Linked DNA regions of Sus scrofa. The protein of the gene in region 2 purifies or fractionates together with the protein of the main gene of each other region. This does not show direct contact. Links are inferred from orthologs where the notes say so. Each region holds a gene or a part of one and is shown on either strand. Other genes may lie near its edges. The genes, in order: PREB, MIA2 and MIA3.

The links.
Region 1: the proteins of MIA2 (region 2) and PREB purify together in Homo sapiens (affinity purification with western blotting; 3 studies listed by BioGRID and IntAct, with this or other methods). This does not show direct contact. The link is inferred for Sus scrofa from reciprocal best matches to the Homo sapiens genes MIA2 and PREB.
Region 3: the proteins of MIA2 (region 2) and MIA3 purify together in Homo sapiens (affinity purification with western blotting; 6 studies listed by BioGRID and IntAct, counting the BioPlex papers as one, with this or other methods). This does not show direct contact. The link is inferred for Sus scrofa from reciprocal best matches to the Homo sapiens genes MIA2 and MIA3.

What each region holds. Positions count from the first base shown.
Region 1 is NC_010445.4:111,990,211-111,996,412, forward strand, and holds PREB (prolactin regulatory element-binding protein), read left to right. Parts: upstream 1-2,153; 5' UTR 2,154-2,383; coding exon 2,384-2,518; intron 2,519-3,095; coding exon 3,096-3,288; intron 3,289-3,478; coding exon 3,479-3,699; intron 3,700-3,884; coding exon 3,885-3,965; intron 3,966-4,063; coding exon 4,064-4,188; intron 4,189-4,366; coding exon 4,367-4,540; intron 4,541-4,674; coding exon 4,675-4,747; intron 4,748-4,923; coding exon 4,924-5,083; intron 5,084-5,253; coding exon 5,254-5,348; 3' UTR 5,349-5,984; downstream 5,985-6,202. Other genes in the region: PRR30 (proline-rich protein 30), read left to right, coding at 1-358; protein ABHD1, read right to left, coding at 5,996-6,202.
Region 2 is NC_010443.5:169,775,064-169,781,158, reverse strand, and holds the start of MIA2 (melanoma inhibitory activity protein 2), read right to left. Parts: upstream 3,567-6,095; 5' UTR 3,347-3,566; coding exon 3,232-3,346; intron 1,555-3,231; coding exon 1,421-1,554; intron 1-1,420. UniProt on the Homo sapiens protein: Plays a role in the transport of cargos that are too large to fit into COPII-coated vesicles and require specific mechanisms to be incorporated into membrane-bound carriers and exported from the endoplasmic reticulum.
Region 3 is NC_010452.4:11,375,400-11,381,296, reverse strand, and holds the start of MIA3 (melanoma inhibitory activity protein 3), read right to left. Parts: upstream 3,405-5,897; 5' UTR 3,377-3,404; coding exon 3,244-3,376; intron 159-3,243; coding exon 25-158; intron 1-24.

The DNA.
Region 1 (6,202 bases), on a different chromosome or scaffold from region 2:
CATAGGCATTGGCTTTGGCCTTCGTCTGCCTCGGGGCCAGGCCAGGGCCTTGCACCTGTTGCCAGAAAGAAGGCCGGAGGAAGTAGGGTCTCAGGGCGAGGCTGCTCAGGCCCGTGGGTGTCAAGCCCAGGCATCTCAGGCCCTAGCAGCTCAGGCCCGGGCAGACCTAGGCCCAGGAACCCCCTCCCAGCCCGGGAGCCTCAGGTCTGTAGGCCCTCAATCACCAAACTCCATGCAGTTTTCAGGGTCTCCAACTCAGGCACCCAAACAGGCCACTGTCTGCCTGAAGCCCAGGCCTTATTCTGCCCCAAAGAGGCCTGCCTCTCCAGAACCCATTCACGGAAGGCCACCACCCTAATTCTGGACCCACGGAGGCTCCCTGGAGTGCCTCCTCTGAACCCCATGGTCCCTGCCAGGCCCCAGATCTCAGGGAGCCCCCAAAACACTCTGAAGGGCTGGCTGGCTGGAGCTCAGGTGTGTTCTCCAGTCCTGAACCCTGGAAGCCCCTTGTGGAGTCTGCTCTCTCCTGGCTGAAGGGGACCAAGCGCTCCTGAGGCCCCACTCAGCCTTCAGTGAATCCAATAAAGCCTGACCCTGCAACACTGGTTCTTGTGTCTTGCTGAGCAGATACAGTGCAGGAGGGCTCTACCTTCAGGGGGACCAGAACCCAACAAGGGGTGGGGGAAGAGTCAAAGGAAAACAGAAGGGCCAGGGAGAGTGGATGCCATGAACCTGAGGAGGGCAAGGGACCCACATGGATCTGAGATGTGCAGAGGGCTCTGTCAGGCCCTTCACACAATTCAATTCGGTGGACAGATAATAGCATCCTTAGAGATGAAGCCACTGGGCCCCCTCCTCTCACTGCACCTTAGGTTGTAAGGACTCAGGCCCATGTGGCCAGGGGAGCAGCAGGAGGGGACTCCTTGCAGGGAAGGGCAGGCCTAGCGTTCACACGAAGAAACATAGCACCCTTGAGGCAGAATGTTAACTCAGGTAGTCAGTGTAGGAGCATGGGCTTCCACGCATTCTGTGATATTAACATGTGTGGCTTAAGGGCTCCAGGGAGTAACATCCCCACAGCCCTTGTTTATTATAGGGAATGTACCTACCCCCAGATGGACATTAATCCCTAATCCCCCGTGACTCAGTTTACGGAAAGAAGAGGACAAAGAAACTCTGAGACTCACGGGACATTTCCATCCCTAGGACCCTATTGGACAAGGACTGACATACATAACTAAGCAAGGCCAATGGGAGAAGACCACATCTCTCTGGGCCCCACCTTGGTACCCCCCCAACTTTAAGGAATAAAACCCCCTATAGGACAATAGAGAAAGGGGGCTCCTCTCCCCCCTCCCAGCAACCCTGGGAGCGATCTACCTGCCTTTAATAAAAACTTTGCTTGCTTGCTGCCTGTGTGTTCGCAGAGTTCATTCTTTGACTGCCGTGAACAAGAACCCCGATTCGGGTATCATCTTTCTGGCATCACCTTCACTACCGTGATCAGAAACCCCAGAGACCCCTCGGAAGGGTAGGGGGCCAGGCCAAAACCTGCCCTGCCTGGTGGTCGAGTGGCCGCCCTCTGAGGGTATCAGAGGGGAGCAGCCCCCACCCACAAACCCCCAGCCGGAGGAGCAGGTGCAGAGCCTTCAGAATGGCCAGCACCCACCTCCGCCAAGGAAGAGGGCCGGTGTTGTTAGGGCAGGGAGCGGTTTTCTCATAACAGAAAGCGGTGGATTCCATGTTTGAAGCCAGGTCTGTTTTTAAAGTCCACGCTGCCTCGGTTAAGAGGCAGGGGACACAAGTCACATTTCCGGAGTGTGACCTGGGACAAAGACTTCATCTCGGGGGTAAAACGCAGAGGCTGCGCTTGACGAGTCTGCGTGTCACTCCTGAGGTGTGGACTGTCCTGATTCAAGAATTTCTTTATTGAAGGTTTATTCACGTCCCTGAACCTTTATTAGCTTCCCCTGCTGCTCCAGAACCACCAAAGATGCTTCCGTGAGGCGGGTACGTTCCCGCAAAAAGATGGCGGAACCCGTCGTCCCAACGCGGGCGGAGAACGGAATCCCGGCGCGGAGGTTCCGCCTGCCCGCGGCCGGCTAGTGCTGACGCGTATGGGCCGCCCTGCGCCTGCGCGGGGAGAGCGGGCTCGCTGCGCTTGCGCACTGCGCGTTGGCGAGACCGGGTTTGCCGGCCCGGGGCAGTGACAGGGATCCTTGTGTGTGGTTACGGTTTCGGCTTCCCGGTGGCAGGGAGAGGGGTCTGGGGTCCTCTGGCGGCCACAGGACCGACGTCAGCCGCGGCCGGAACCACAGTCGAAGGCCGGGCGCGGCATGTCCCGGGTGCCTCGACGCAGGCAGTGAGGCGCGCGGCGAGCGGGATGGGTCGACGCCGGGCGCCAGAGCTGTACCGGGCCCCGTTCCCGTTGTACGCGCTTCAGGTCGAGCCAAGCGCGGGGCTGCTCATCGCGGCGGGCGGAGGAGGTGCTGCCAAGACCGGTATAAAGAACGGCGTGGTGAGAGTACAGGGCCCCTGGGGCCGGGTCGCGCGCCGCGGGCTCAGGGCGATTCTGGGAGGGTCTCGGGGGCGGGCCGCACTCTTGCTTCGGACCCTTCCTCTCTCTCGGGTGGGAATGCTGGGCTTGCCGGGCGTCCCGGCGCGAGTTTCAGTCGAGAACTCGCTCACCGGTCAATTGAAAGACTCCTAAGGTAAAGTGAAAGCTGCACATAGCGCTGCCTAGGCAGGAACCTTTCGACTCAACCTCAGGCTCAGTTCTAGGGGTCTTATCCCGGCTTTTTCCAGGGTGGCCACCTGGGCTTGTCTGTCTGCCCTCTAGCAGCGGCGAGAGTGCAGCATAAACTAAGTGTTTTCACTTTTCTGGGCGTCAGCCTATTGTTCTGCAAACTAGAGGTGACCAGCCAACCTTGCTTGCTGTCCAGCCTCGTGAGGCTCAAAAAAAAAAAAAAAAAAAGTTGGAAAAAGTTTTGAAGTAGAAGGTGCAGTAAGCAAGGGGTAGGGCATCAGACCATAAGAGGAAAGTTGGCCTCGAGGTGCCCTCTGAGCCTTGCTCACCCTGGTTCCCTCTCCCACAGCACTTTCTGCAGCTAGAGCGGATTCATGGGCACCTCAGTGCCTCTCTGCTCCACTCCCATGACACGGAGACTCGCGCCACCATGAACTTGGCGCTGGCTGGCAACATCCTTGCTGCAGGGCAGGATGCCCGCTGTCAGCTCTTGCGCTTCCAGACCCAACAGCAGAAGGGCAAAAACAAGGCAGAGAAGGCAGGTGAGAGCCCCCTCTCTAGCTTTGGGCAAAGGGTTAAGTAAGATCTCTTTCGCCTTGGTCTCTGAAGAAGTGGGGGCTGGAGGCAGGGTTATGGTAGCAGAGGCCAGAAGCTCGAGGGTCACCCCTGGAGAGGGGGACCGGTTCCGCTTACTCCAGAAGCGTGGAACGTGGCAGGTTGTTTGTGTTGCAGCTTCCAAGGAGCAGGGGCCTCGACAGAGGAAAGGGGCTGCCCCAGCAGAGAAGAAGTCTGGAGCTGAAACCCACCAGGAGGGGTTAGAATTCAGCGTAGAGAATTTGCAGGCCGTGCAGACAGACTTCAGCCCTGACCCACTGCAGAAAGTTGTACGCTTCAACCATGATGCTACCCTGCTTGCCACTGGAGGGACAGATGGCTACGTTCGTGTCTGGAAGGTGTGTGGTTTGGGGAGGTCACAGGGTGTTAGTAGTGGCAGAGCCAGAATTGTGAGAAACTGAACACGGGTGCCGGGAGACCTGTGAGCGAAGCCCGCCCTGAGCGGCCGTAGCAGGGAAGGTGGCGGGGCTCATTGCACTCTTCCCGAGTACCGAGGCTAACTAGGCTGGTGGTTTGGCGGCAGGTCCCCACCTTGGAGAAAGTTTTGGAGTTCCGGGCCCATGAAGGAGAGATTGAGGACCTGGCTGTGGGGCCCGACGGCAAGGTGAGGTGGTGAGGGGTGGAGAAAGCAGGCGGGTGTGCTGCTTGTCCAGGAGGTGGATCCCCTAACCATCCGTCCTTGGAATCTTGATTCCTGACCAGTTGGTTACTGTGGGCCGGGACCTTAAGGCCTCTGTGTGGCAGAAGGATCAGCTGGTGACCCAGCTGCACTGGCAAGAGAACGGACCCACCTTTTCTAACACGCCTTACCGCTACCAGGCCTGCAGGTGTGCAGACCCCAGAGGGGGCTGGAAGAGGCTCTGCTTAGAGGTGGCGGGGGCATGGGAAAGGGCGGGGGCCAGCTGGGGAGGATCGGAGCCTTGTCGGGTGTTACCCCAGGCCTGACCAGGGTGTGGGAGGGCACAGACCTCTGAGGAGCTGAACAGCCTCTCCCCCGGCCACCAGGTTCGGGCCAGTTCCAGACCAGCCTGCCGGGCTGCGGCTCTTCACAGTGCAGATTCCCCACAAGCGTCTGCGCCAGCCCCCACCCTGCTACCTCACAGCCTGGGATGGCTCCACGTTCTTACCCCTTCGGACCAGGTCCTGTGGCCATGAAGTCATCTCCTGCCTCAGTGTCAGGTGTGAGACAGTGGTGGCTTGGCTGGGTGTGGGGGTGCCTGGGAGAGCTCGGGGAGCGGGGCCACCCCAGTCCCTGAGGACCGTTGTTGCCGCGCAGGACTCCAGGACAGTGAGCACTTTATTGTTTGTTGCAGTGAATCGGGCACCTTCCTGGGCCTGGGCACGGTCACTGGCTCTGTTGCCATCTACATAGCTTTCTCCCTCCAGGTAATGGGGTGGTGGGCACAGCCCCGAGGGCTCTTTGAGGTGGGGATTCTAGGCCTGCATCTACACGGAATGTGCAGGGAGGATCCTGGCCGGGCCTATAGGGGCCAAGTCTTCTGGGGGTAGAGGGTGTGTTTTCCGGAAGGAATGTTCCCAGCTGGGCCTTCCCCTGTCTCCAGCGCCTGTACTATGTGAAGGAGGCCCATGGCATTGTGGTGACGGATGTGGCCTTTCTACCTGAGAAGGGGCGTGGTCCAGAGCTCCTTGGGTCCCACGAAACTGCTCTGTTCTCTGTGGCTGTGGATAGTCGTTGCCAGCTACACCTGCTGCCCTCACGACGTGAGTCACTGGGTGGGCCGGGGCAGCCCACCTTTAGCTGCAGCAAAGACTTGCCGGCTGGAGAACTGGCTGCTCGATGGTAGCCATCTCTCCGCTCCTTGAATGGTTCAGTTTCTCAGGCTGTGGGGCCCCTTTTGGCCTCCTGACTTCTTCCCCTCCCCCTCCTGCAGGGAGTGTTCCTGTGTGGCTGCTGCTGCTGCTGTGTGTCGGGCTTATTGTTATGACCATCCTGCTGCTCCAGAGTGCCTTTCCAGGTTTTCTTTAGCCTCCTTGCTCCCAGAGAACCAGGGGCCTGGGCACTGCCACCTCTAGACCAGAGTGGAGGCCTGGACCCCACTGCTCACTCCACTGGGGCCCACAGCTGAGGTTGCCTCTGATGAGACTACTGGGCAATGCCTGCCCTTCCCAGTTAAAGTTTGGCTGTGGCCTCGTGCGACCCTGAGTTCTGGGAACCTTGTATTCATCATCTGTGGATCCGCCCAGGACCGTGGTGTCCTTCTTCCCTCTACCTACCAGAGGCTCCAAGGTGGGGCTTGTCCTTCCCCCAGAAATATGTGAAGATGCCCAAGAACTTGGAGGCACTGCTGTCCTTCCTGCCGAAAGCCGTTTTCTCCTGCTCCCCGCACAGCCTCGTGGCCGGCTGCTCTCCACAGGAGCCCCTCCCATTTGCTGGGGCAGCCCCTGGCCTGGGACTTGCTCTTAGGGAAGAAAGGAGTCAGAGGAAGACCCAAGCAGTACTCTTTGCATTCAGCTGGGCAGCGCCAAGCCAGCCGAGCTCAATATGCAGTATGTTCCTGGACAGGCTAGCTTAGCCTTGAGCCAAGGGAAAATGAACCTCAGCCCATTTGGCAGGAAACGGTAATATTTAATAAACAAGGGAAAACTGAACTGATGCCCCAAATGGTACTCTTGTCAGCTCTTGCCTCCCTCAGAAAGTGTGGGCACCCTGAGGCTGAGCAGCTCCTCCGGGTGCTGGAAGATGGCCCTGGCATATTGATGCAAGAGGCGGCTCATGTAGCAGTGCTTCCAGGGGAGCAGCCCTTCCAGGAAGCCGATGTGGCCACCCCGGGGTGTGACAAGCAGTGCGACATGGGGAGAATGTTGGGCAGCCTGTAAGGG
Region 2 (6,095 bases):
CAAGGGCAGGGATCGAACCCACAACCTCATGGATGCTAGTCGGGTTCGTTAACCACTGTGCCACGACGGGAACTCCTGTGTCATTTTTCTTATAGCTGCATTCAGTACAGTCATGCATTCAAGACAGAAATGTCATGTTTGAAGCACCACAAACAATAAGAAATCTTGGGAGCTGCAAAGTCCAGGCAAACAATTCTGGCCAAGAACCATCAGAAGTTCAGTCATATAGCGCCTGATGCTAAAACGCAGGGTAGACCCCAAATAGAATCTGCTTCTGCAAACAAAGATCACAGATGCTGCACAAGAAAGAGATCTTATGCATACACAATATGGAAATGATGTATGTACCAGGCTGGTCATGTTTGTTCAACCTGGGAGTAAGATCGTTTGTCATGGCATCCTTTCATTCTAAAGCATAATGATATAATCTAGAACACAAACCTATTTTCAACTGAAAACATTAATCATTAATTTTCCTATCTTATATATTCAGAGATGATCCAGGTTTTTAGGAATTTCAATGTAATAGTACTTTGGGCCAAATAAAATCTCTCTGTTTTTCTTTTTGAAAGAAAGATTTTTCTTTAAATGAAACATTTGTACAACTCACCTCCCTAGACTACTAATCTTTCTGAGGATCTCTTCAAGAGCAACTCAGTTTGTTATTTGCTCAGAAAGACATGTCTTTTTTTTTTAATGATTTTTATTTTTTCCATTATAGCTGGTTTACAGAAAGACATGTCTTTTAATTTAATTAACAAAAAACGTCCCAGCCTCTCTTAAACGTGGCCATTGGTATCTCCATTGGCACCTCTAAATAAACATAAAATCAAAGTTCAAAACCTATGGATGCTACATAAAAATAATTTCAAAGCACTCTCAAGCCTTCATCCGGACCAGACTGGCTTCCCAAAGGCTACTTTTATAGAAATTCAGGAACCAACACTGAACATGACTGTTTTTGTTTGTTTAAATATGTTTATATATTTTAAAGTACTGTGAAATTCTTTCTTTCTTTTCTTTTTCTTTTTCTTTTTTTTTTTTTTTTTTTTTTTTTTTTTTTTTTTTTTTTTTTGCTTTTTAGGGTCTTACCTGCAGCATATGGAAGTTCCCAGGCTAGGGGTCAAATTGGAGCTGCAGCTGCCAGCCTATGCCACAGCCATAGCAACATGGGATCTGAGCTGCATTTGAAACCCACATACACCACAGCTCACGGCAATGCCAGATTCCCAACCCACTAAGCCAGGCCAGGGATTGAATCTGCATACTCATGTCTTCATGGATCCTCGCTGGTAACCTGCTAAGCTAAAATGGGACTCCCACTTTGAAATTCTTAAAGTTCCTTTAGAGATGAAAACCAGGCATCTTTGGGTAAGCTGGTCATTTACTCTGTATTTAATTTATATGATTAGATACTTACACTTCCTGCCCACAAATCTTCCTTTTCTCCTGCGAGTTTAATATAAACAGATATCTCTTCTCCCTTAGTGAAGTTCAGATACCGACAGTCAGGTCCTCTGTAATCTCTTATGGCTAAGACTCTGCTTATTAAAGCTATGTAAACATGCAGAGACAAACACACAATAGGGAAGGGAAGGAAAAGATAATTAGTTTTCTTCCAGGCACCTATTATATTTCAGGCATCATGACAAACTCTTCCATTAATTATTGTTATTATAAACCCTCGAAACAGGTCTATGAGGTTAATAATCTCATCTTATACTAACAAATGAAACTTTAAATCTCAAAGAGTTGATCACACACCTAATAAATGGTGTGGAATTCATTTCACTGCAACATCTGCCTTATGTATTCTGAGCTTTTCTTTCTGTTTTTTCCTAAGCTCTTCTGGAAACCCATCAATTTCTCTTGATGGACAACTCATACCTACATCCCTATGATTCATCCCTAATTGGTCCAGGCTACTCTGCCTCTTCTCTGAATTTCAATATTACCTATTATCCTTACGTTGTATCACTATTTATTTTTCATATTGACCTGTCTTGTCATCATCCACTAGATTGAAAATACTTGGAGGACAAGAAACTTATCTCATATTTCATTTTATTCTTCTTAAATACAAACCCCTTATTTCCCTGACCCAGCACATAATAGGCCTTTAATAACTGTGAATAATCATAACCACATATACTAAACAGATTCCTTCAACACATAATACACATATCATATTAACCATTATAATTATACTGACATATTAAAACATTTTGTCATGCAATTAAAGTTAAAATAACATTATCAATTACTATACATTTGAAGGTTCTCTTTCCATGTTCTGTGCCTGGCCCTAAGGAAACTAATATGAGGTTGTAAAGAGGAAAAGAGAGATCATTGTTGTTATTATTATTATTATAAAACATCATTGAGTAAACCTTCTCTATATGTTAAATTACATTTCCAAACGATTAATGAAAATGTTTACTCATAAAAAATTTACTTTTAAATTATTTGTTTATACTAATGATATTTTTCATTTTTACTTACATGTTACAAATTAGAAATAATTCTCACACAGTGGAGAGATGGAACATATTTAAAGCAACTCTAATATATTGGGTTGCTATTCATTTTTTGTACCATAACGCTAATTTCAGAAAATAAGTTCTTAAGCAATAGAATGAAAATTAATTTCTCTTTGTAGAAGATAGAGGTTTAATATTCAAGGATACATAAGATTATGTACGCCTAACACTGATCTCAATATTTTTGCATATTGTGAACAAAGAAATGATTAATGTTTGATAAAATAATTTAGATAATAAATCATGATGGCTTGAAATAAAAATGGTATTAGAAGATTCATGAGACTCAGAAACTTCTGATTGTGAAATAGAAACTAAAAAAATATAAGGGCTTCATAAAAATAACCATCAAAAGGTTTGATATCTTTTTTAATACATATCAATTACATTTATCTTAAAAATAGTAAAGTGCTAATTAGTTTATTTTTGAGATCTGGATTATATCATTATAATTTCTGGTATATTTATATACCAGGTCAATCTTTGCCCCTTTGTATATTTACATTAAAAGCTATCACGAAATGCTTGCTTCCAGAATTTCCCTTTTGAGTGAACTATATTTTAAAATGATAAATACTTCCCAAAGATATTATTGTTCATTTTTATTATACATGTCCACAATAACATTTTATATCATTTCGGATTCTCAATTTAAGAGGAAAAGAAGGGAAAAAAAAGAAAAGCAACTTACTTTCACATTCCAAGTCACCACATTTTTTAAAGTCTGCCAGCCGTTTTGTGCCCTCCAGACACTTAGTCAGAGAAATAACCAAAAGAAGGATTCTGTGAATTCCAAGCTCCGCCATGCTAAAACAAGCAGGGATCCAAACAAGGTTTAAAGGGATTGTTTAGGCAGTAGATATGCCAGCCAAAACCAGGAAGCAGCCCACTGTCTTTACTAAATATGAGAAGAAAAGATTTGAATTTTTTTAAATCCCTCAATAACTACATTTTTCTATCGGTATTTAGGCTTAACTTGAGGGACAAACAGCCTCTGTTCTCAATCTGCACTATCTGCAGAGTCAGGTATCCAGATTATACATAAGGGTTTAATCATTAACAGGGATTTTTAGTTGGAGTCATGTCTTATAAAGCCAGCCCACATAAAACTCTGCTTAAAAACACCTTGTGTTCCACAGAACAATTCTTACACAGGCCTCCACAAAAAGGTAGTTCATCTCCTTCAGTTAAAGCCTTCAGGTAGTTCAGTCAAGAAGTACACAGTATCTGCTACATGCAAATACCAGCGTCAGTGGAGGCATAGTTATACGTAGAAGCAATAATGTACTTATGGTAATAAGTAATAATGGTTTTGGAATATCATAATGAAAGTTATTTGAAGAAATATCCCACTTTCATATATTTTGATTATCATTATTTTTTTTAGGGCTGCACCCGTGAATATGGAGGTTCCCAGGCTCAGGGTCTAATCGGAGCTGTAGCCGCCGGCCTATGCCAGATCCACAGCAATGCCAAATCTGAGCCACGACTGCAACCTACACCACAGCTGACAGCAACACCAGATCCTTAACCCACTGAGCAAGGCCAGGGATCAAACTTGCAGCATCATGGTTCCTAATTGGGTTCATTTCTGCTGCACCACGATGAGAACTCCCCACTTTCATATTTTGAAAACCTTCAATGTTGCTATGAAGTAGACCCTTGTTTTTCATTTAAGAATAATAGTTAAAATATATGAAGTACTTATTATGTTCCAGGTACCATCTTTAACAATTATGTGATCTGATTCTACTCTCAGGTCAACTCTCGGAGGTAGGTAATATTATCATCCCCTTTTTTTGCATTATAAGGAGACTGAGTTACATAGAGATAGGTCAAATCACTTGCCCAAAGTCACATAGTGAAAGGGAAAGAAATTTAAATCTAAGTTCTGTGATTACTACAACTCACAACCACTATTTCTTACCACGAAGAATCAAGTCATCTGCCACAGAAAGATGTCTACTCTGTCTGCAATAATACTATTCTAGAAACAGCAGATACAATATCATTTTATGTATTTAAAATTGGATGTGTATTTCTGGACATAGACATTGAGAGAGATGTCTGAAACAATCCTCCTCCATATGGTGGGAATATATCCTGTAAATTCAAATTGTATTCACTTTATTCTTTGCACTTTTCTATATTGTTTCACTTAAAAAAAAACAGTGTTGATAAATTCATTTGAGTAATAAAAAAAATCAGTGAGATATATCATTTAAAAATAACGATAAGTTTATGAAAGTCAAATTATTTGAATGATATTGTTGCTTAAAAGGGATCAAATCCTATATTGGGAATTTTTGTGTAAAATCTACTAGACTGAGGTAGATTTTTGGAAACTAAAGTTGTCCTGTTTCAATCATGAGAAAATATTTTTCTAAGCTCTTCTTTGCTGTACCTTTCCCCAGTGTCTGGGCGTGCCCGCGTATGAGTACTTTGCCTAATGCAGCACTTATGCAACACCACACTCCCCTCTAGTGCCTGAGGGAGTTAAAGTGAAAGACAGCTGCTTTCAAAATCCTAAAAAAAGGAAGTGTGTTTTCTGTTTTCCAGAACCAATAATTAGTAGGAAGCCTTCTCTCTGAGAGCAAAGATTTTTACATCCTTAGAAAGAATCTGATAGAGAGTGAGTTTGAGGATCCTTTCATTTGCAGAACTGAACACATGCACACTCAAAAAGGTGTAGGTTTGTTTCTTAAATACTTTTACAAATCAATAAACTATGTTGTCAAAGACATTAAAGAAGGATTAGCTCTTCAGCATCAAATTTTGGCACAGAATTATTTACATAGTCTATATTAAGTCAAGAATATTTAATAATTAATGCATTTTATCCTTTTGTATTCAATATTTAAAATTTTATAGCTGGAGTTCCCTTCGTGGCATAGTGGAAATGAATCCAACTAGGAACCATGAGGTTGTGGGTTCGATCCCTGGCCTTGCTCAGTGGGTTAAGGATCCGGCATTGCTGTGAGCTGTGGTGTAGGCTGCAGACATGGCTCGGATCTGTCATTGCTGTGGCTCTGGTGTAGGCTGGCAGCTACAGCTCCGATTCAGCCCCTCGTCTGGGAACCTCCATATGCTGCGGGTGCAGCTCTAAAAGGACAAAAGACACACACACAAAAATGTTACAGCTAAATTCTGATCTAGTTAATTTAGTTGTGTTCTAAGTTAAGAGAGAACCCAGATAAATTTAAATTTCCCTATTAAGGAGTTCCCTGCTGGCTCAACAGATTAAGGATCTGGCATTGCCACTGCTGTGGCTCAGATCACTGCTGCGGCTCAGATCACTGCTGCTGCATGAGTTCAATCCCTCCCCCAGGAACTTCTGCATGCCATGGTGTGGCCAAAAAAATAATAACAATAAAAATAAATCTGGAGTTCCTACTGTGGCTCAGCAGGTTAGGAGTGTGACTACTATCTATGAAGATGCAGGTTCAATCCCTGGCCTTATTCACTGGGTTAAGGATCCAGCATTGCTGGAAGCTATGGTATAGTATAGATTGCAGATACAGCTTGGATCCCGAGTTGTCGTGGCTGTGGTGTAGG
Region 3 (5,897 bases), on a different chromosome or scaffold from region 2:
AAAGCATGCCAAAGCGGTACTTACACTTCCAGCCCAAACTTCAGGTGATCCCCCTGCCAGTTTATAGTAGACATATACAGGGTCACCTTTTTTAAAATTCACAAAGCGACAATCCGGTCCTGTAAAATCTTCCAGAGCCTCGCCGCGGTACATTAACACTGTATGTAAAAGGGAAAAAGAAAGAAGCAGAAATCAGGATTCCACTTCCGTGGTCTCTGCTGATTTATCAGGAAACGTACGATGTAAACAAGCAGGGAGCTTCCCCTGTAATCTCTGGAACCAGTCCCTTTCCATCCACACGCTCAAGCATCTCCAGAGCCTTACGGAATCTGAATCACGACAGGGGAGGGAAAGCATCCCCCGTTGTTCTCCCCGGATAAGGCTGGGAAACAAAACGCAATGGCCACTGCCACGCGTGGCTGCTCTCAAGTGAATCTCTTAGTTTCCTGTCTAACCATCCAGTCTGCAGCCTTCGCTGTTTCATAATCATCATGAAAAGCTTCATTCGGCAGTTGGGTAGATTGGATCACAGATGCTGCCTGGCTACCTGTCAAGGTAATAGGTAGGTGGGGAGAGCACCCAAGAACCCCCCAAGGGGTCAATTAACTTGAACTAAGCACGAAGAGGCCCTGTCTTTAAGTGGCTGAAATGGCAACTGCGCAGCAGTAAACACTTTCATTTGCAGCCAAGCTGCTCTCTCCTTACAGCATCTGGTTAAATTAAGGAGAAAGGACATCACATCCTGTTATGGACCCAATCATAGGACAAAGTAATATCTTCTGAAAGCATATACGCCTGACAATATTCAACAGTAAGAAGGTTTGTTTATTTCTAGAAACAAAATCAAAGTGGACAAGTGGCTTATGTTTCTAGAAACACAATCATGTGTGGCAGGGACGAGCGTAAGGACGAGAACTGTTTAGTAGTTACCTTCAGTCTTAAAATGCAGGCCTTAAATCACACGCGATCTAGGAACTGGTAGAAGCAGTATTTTTCTTTTTGTTGACCAAACACACAGTTTCTAATGTAATATGGAATGCACAATAAATGCAATTAAATAGCAAAGAAAAAGGATGAAACGGAAATAACACTTTTTCTAAAAGCTAAACAGCAATAAAAGATACATTAAAACATATCTTTAAATAAGTTATTTGAGGGATAAACATGGGGGTTATTTGGATTTTGAAGCTAAAATCTGATTATTTTAATACACTTCAGCCTCCTAATTCAGATATAATTAGATAGATGAGAGGCCAAGTTGAAGGTGATGGACAATTTAAGACTGGGGATTTGAAGTTCCCTGTTGTGGCTCAGTGGAAACAAATCTGACTAGCACCCTTGAGAATGCAGGTTTGATCCCTGGCCTCACTCAGTGAGTTAAGGATCCCGGGTTGCCATGAGCTGTGGTGTAGGTTGCAGACGAGGCTCAGATCCTGCGTTGCTGTGGCTGTGGTGTAGGCTGGCGACTACGGCTCCAATTCGACCCCTAGCCTGGGACCCTCCGTATTGCAGCAGGTACAGCCCTAAAAAAGCAAAAAAAAAAAAAAAAAAAAAAAAAAAAAAAGAGGCTGGGATTCTCTCAGAATCAGAAATGGCAATGTTTCTCTTATTTCACCCTTGGAAGATATCACTGCAGATTTATAATAACAAATCAGATGACAACATACTGCACACGGTGACACAGCTATCTGAAAAGCACACAAGGACAGCCCACACGCGCACACACGTTACTAAATAAACACTTTATGCAACACAACACAGACCCAGACCCTGCCTGGCTGCAGCCTGTTGTGCTTGGTTACATCTGCTTGGACTCATGCCATTTTCTCAAATTATGTGACAGCTACGGGCCCTTCCAACACCCTGTGGCCTTTCCACACTGAGGAAGCATCCACACAGAGCGACTGTCCAGGTAAGTGGTGTTGAGGACCAGACAGGCCAGTGCTGGAAAGCAAAGAACAGCAAATATTTTGCCAACCCTGCTGGCTACTAACCTGGATTGACTCCAAGAAAAGAAGGGAAACAATCATGGAAGTTGCGCCCCTTTTGCAGCATTTATTACATCAGGTCTAGGGTTGCCTCTAGGAATGGCTTAAACGCAAATCAAAGCAAGCCTCCTTTCTTGAGTGGTGGAGCAATGATACAACTCTTCAAATTATACAATTTGTTTCTGGAATAACACCCATTTCACTATAAATAGCTAACCGTAGGCTCTGGCCTTTCCAGAATGAACAGTTCCCCAGGTACTGACAACAGTATATGAACAAGCGTTTCCGAAGTGGTTACCAGTACGTTACAAGGTTATCTGAAACGGACTGGGAAGCCGCAAGGACGGCAGTGGTCCTGCAAACACACAGGAAGAGCCTCCAAACACAAGTGACTAAGGCTCAAGCTGGCTGGGTTTATAAAACCCCTGGAGCATGCATTATTTTTACTTTAACAACCCTCTTCTTCTCAGTCCGGGGAATCTCTGCGCTCCTCACCAGCAGCGGCACCCCCGCCCCATCCCCAATCCGCGAATGGGGAACAATTCCGCTTCCTGCGCAAAGAGGAGGCTGCCGGTCCCAGGTGGCCGATGCAGAGTCTCCGCCTCTTTCGAGAGCGCAAGCTTTTGGCCCTCCCGGCGCCCCCCCGCCTGGCTATTTGCAGGAAGAGCCTTCCAAGCACAGAAATGACAGGATCGAGGCAGAGCCGGGGCGGAGACCTTGGAATACACAGCACGCCTGGACTCCGGGCTCGTCCCAAGCCTAAACTCCAGTCCCAGTTCGAAAGGCGTCCGAGCCCCGAATCGGTGGGAAGCAGAAGAGCGAAGGGAGCCTCTCCCGAGCCCCCACTGGCCACTGCGCAGGGAATACGCCCCCTGAGCCCTTGGCCTATCTGCCCCCGGACTGCACTCTCCGAGGTCCCCGCGGCGGGGGCAGGAGAGCGCTGGGATGCAGCGTGGGAGCCCAGGACGCTCGGCGCGCCACCCCAGCTCGCCGGAGCCAGGGCAGCCCGGGGAAGGAACCCTGGGGGCGGCCCTGGGAAACCGGGGGCCACCTCCGACCGCCCACCCCCGCCTCCGTCAGCGAAAGAAAAATGAAATGCCGGCAACAAGTGGGAGGCGCAGCCCCCACGGCCGGGGCCGGCCGGCCTGGGCGCCCGCAGGGCCGGAGGGGACAGAAGCGGGGACCCGGCTCGCCCCCCGCGGCGCTCCGCCCAACCGCCCTGCGACCCCCGCCTCCCCGCGCGCCGGGCACTCACTGCTGCATTCCTCGTCCGCGCAGACTTTGTCCTGCGAGAAGCGCCGGCCGGGGGCCGGCTCCGGCTGGCCCGGCACCGGCCAGGGCGGCCCGAGCAGGAGCAGCCAGAGCAGCAGCCCCGGCGCCGCAGCCATGTTGTGGTCACTCGCGGAGCGGGTGACGCGGAGGAGGAGGCGGGCGGCGGGGCGGCGCCCGCCGGGGTGTGGGGCCCCGAGCGACACGTCAGCACGGTCTCGGGAGGGGATGGCCGGAGAGGGTCCTAAAGAAGCCGGAGGAGGACAAGCGCGCCCACCTCCTCGCCTAGGCCTTCGCGGCCGACTGCTGCCTTCGCGGCCGACTGCTGCCTTGGCAACCAGGATTCTACCTCCTCCCTCGTCCAATCGCCGGCCTGTGCCCTTGTCCCTACGCAGTGGACCCTCGGCGAGATTCCACGGGTCTCGCGCCCCTCTCCGACCTTGGGCCCCCCCTCCCCCCGCGCTGGTCCAACAAGTCTTTCTTGACCCCTTCTCGCAGCTTCAGATTTCTGGTCGGTCCCCAAGGGGCTCACCGTCACCACCCCATCCCTTCTTGGTTTGGTACCTCCTTTCCCGAAGGACCAGATCCCACCCACGATTTACCACTGCTGGTGTCCAGTTCGGCATCCCCCTCCTTCTGACTCCCAGGGCGTTCTTGGGGCCCCATCCCATGATCCCCTCAAATTAGGAAAGGGAGCTGTGACTCTGAGGGAAATTAGAGCGGTGGCCTGCTCAGTTATTTTTTTTTTTTCCCCACGCGTCTCCTGCTAGCCCTGGAGATGGGAGTGGCCCTGGGTCCCCCAGGCTGAGGTCTTCAGATTCTTGGGTCTATATCCTAACAGAAGAATAATTTAATTCAATGCAAATGTGTTGAGCTTCCCTTACGTTACAGGCTACCACGTTAGGACAGAGGCTGGACAAAGCTCCAGGATGATGAGCGGAAAGGTGTAGGGTTAACAGACAAGCTATCTGGACTTCGTGTAAAGAGGCCCACAATTTAGTGGAAAACAACTCACATCAAAAGGACTGAAGATTAAGTAGTTCCTGTCCTGGCTCAGCAGAAACAAATCTGACTAGTATCCATGAGGACGGGGCTTTGATCCCTGGCCTCGCTCAGTGGGTTAAGGATCTAGCGTTGCTGTGAGCTGTGGTGTAGAACTCAGATGCCACTTGAGTCTGGTGTGGCTGTGGCTGTGGCGGCTGTGGCGCCTGTGGCGTAGGCCTGTGGCTGCAGCCCGGATTAAACGCCTAGCCTGGGAACCTCTATGTGCCACCAGAGTGGCCCTAAAAAGATCCCCCCCAAAAAAAGACAAAAATAAATGTTAGAGAATGGAAAAACACTTCCTGAGCATTTTCTTTATGCCCAGATGTCATTCTAAGGTCTTCATACGTAGTAGCAATTTGTTTAATTTTCACAATAGCTGGTGCTATTACCATTCATTTTCCAAGATGAGTACATTGCATTTGTCTGTGACCTGGCGCTTCTCACTATAGCCTCTGTCAAGGCTATTCATCAATGCTGAGAGCCAATCGCATCTGTTAGTTGGTTTCCCGAACTGGAGTCCTTAAAAGCAAGTGAAAGAATGTGGCAGGTCCATGCAATCCATAATGTTGAATAAAGGAAAAGGTGAGAAGGAGATGTTCACAGTTGTTTATCTCCAGGGTCATGAGATGCTCCACTGGTCCCACGGTGTCTCGAGAGAATGTACAATGGGTCAGGTGACTGTCCAAGCAATAGTGCCTTTAGGAGTTTCTCCATTTCTTTTCTACTGTGTTTCTTGCTTTGGAATCTTTGGTGTTTCTAACATGCATCTTCAGCTTAGTATGTTGGAAATCCAATTTCTCATTTTCTCTCTCCAACCGTGCTCCTTTCAGCCTTCCTATTTCAATGACGGGCCCTTTAATTCTGTCTTCCAGGGGTTCAAGTCAGTAACTTACAAACCACCCCGGATTCCTCTTTATCTCACGTGCCACATCCAATCCATCAGACAATCCTGTGTACTCTTTACTTGAATAGCTTTACTGAGCTGGAATTTACATACAATAAACTGCACATATTCCGAGTAGACAATTGGATGAGTTTTGACACGTATACACTCATGAGACCAGCACTAGAATCAAGGTAGCTAACTTCTCCATCACCCCAAAGAGTCCTCATGCTCCCTTGCAATCCCCGCCCCCGTCTCCTGTCTACCTGCCTGTCTCCAAACAACCTTTTGTTGCGCTAGATGACTTACAATGTCCAGAATTTGATATAAATGGAATCATACATTGTGTACTCTTTTTTGTGTCTGACTTCTCCCATAAGCATTTGAAATACATCCAGAAACTGACCACGTCTCACCATCTCCTACGCTAACACTGCGGGCTAAGCCACCATCCTCTCACACCTGAAAGACGGCAGGCTTTCTCCCTGTTCTCTGCTTCGGCCCTGCCCTCCCAAAGTCTACTGTCTCAAGAGCAGCTGGAGGTGTTGAGTCATGATATAAATGTGATCGTGTCTCCTCTGCTCAAGTCCTTCCTCTGGCTGTCCACTTCCAAATAAAAGGCAGGGATGTCACCATGGATGGCCCTGTCTTAGGTGGCCTGACCCTGTTCACCCCTTTCCCCCTCACCTCCCAGCACTCTCCCTCGGCTCCGC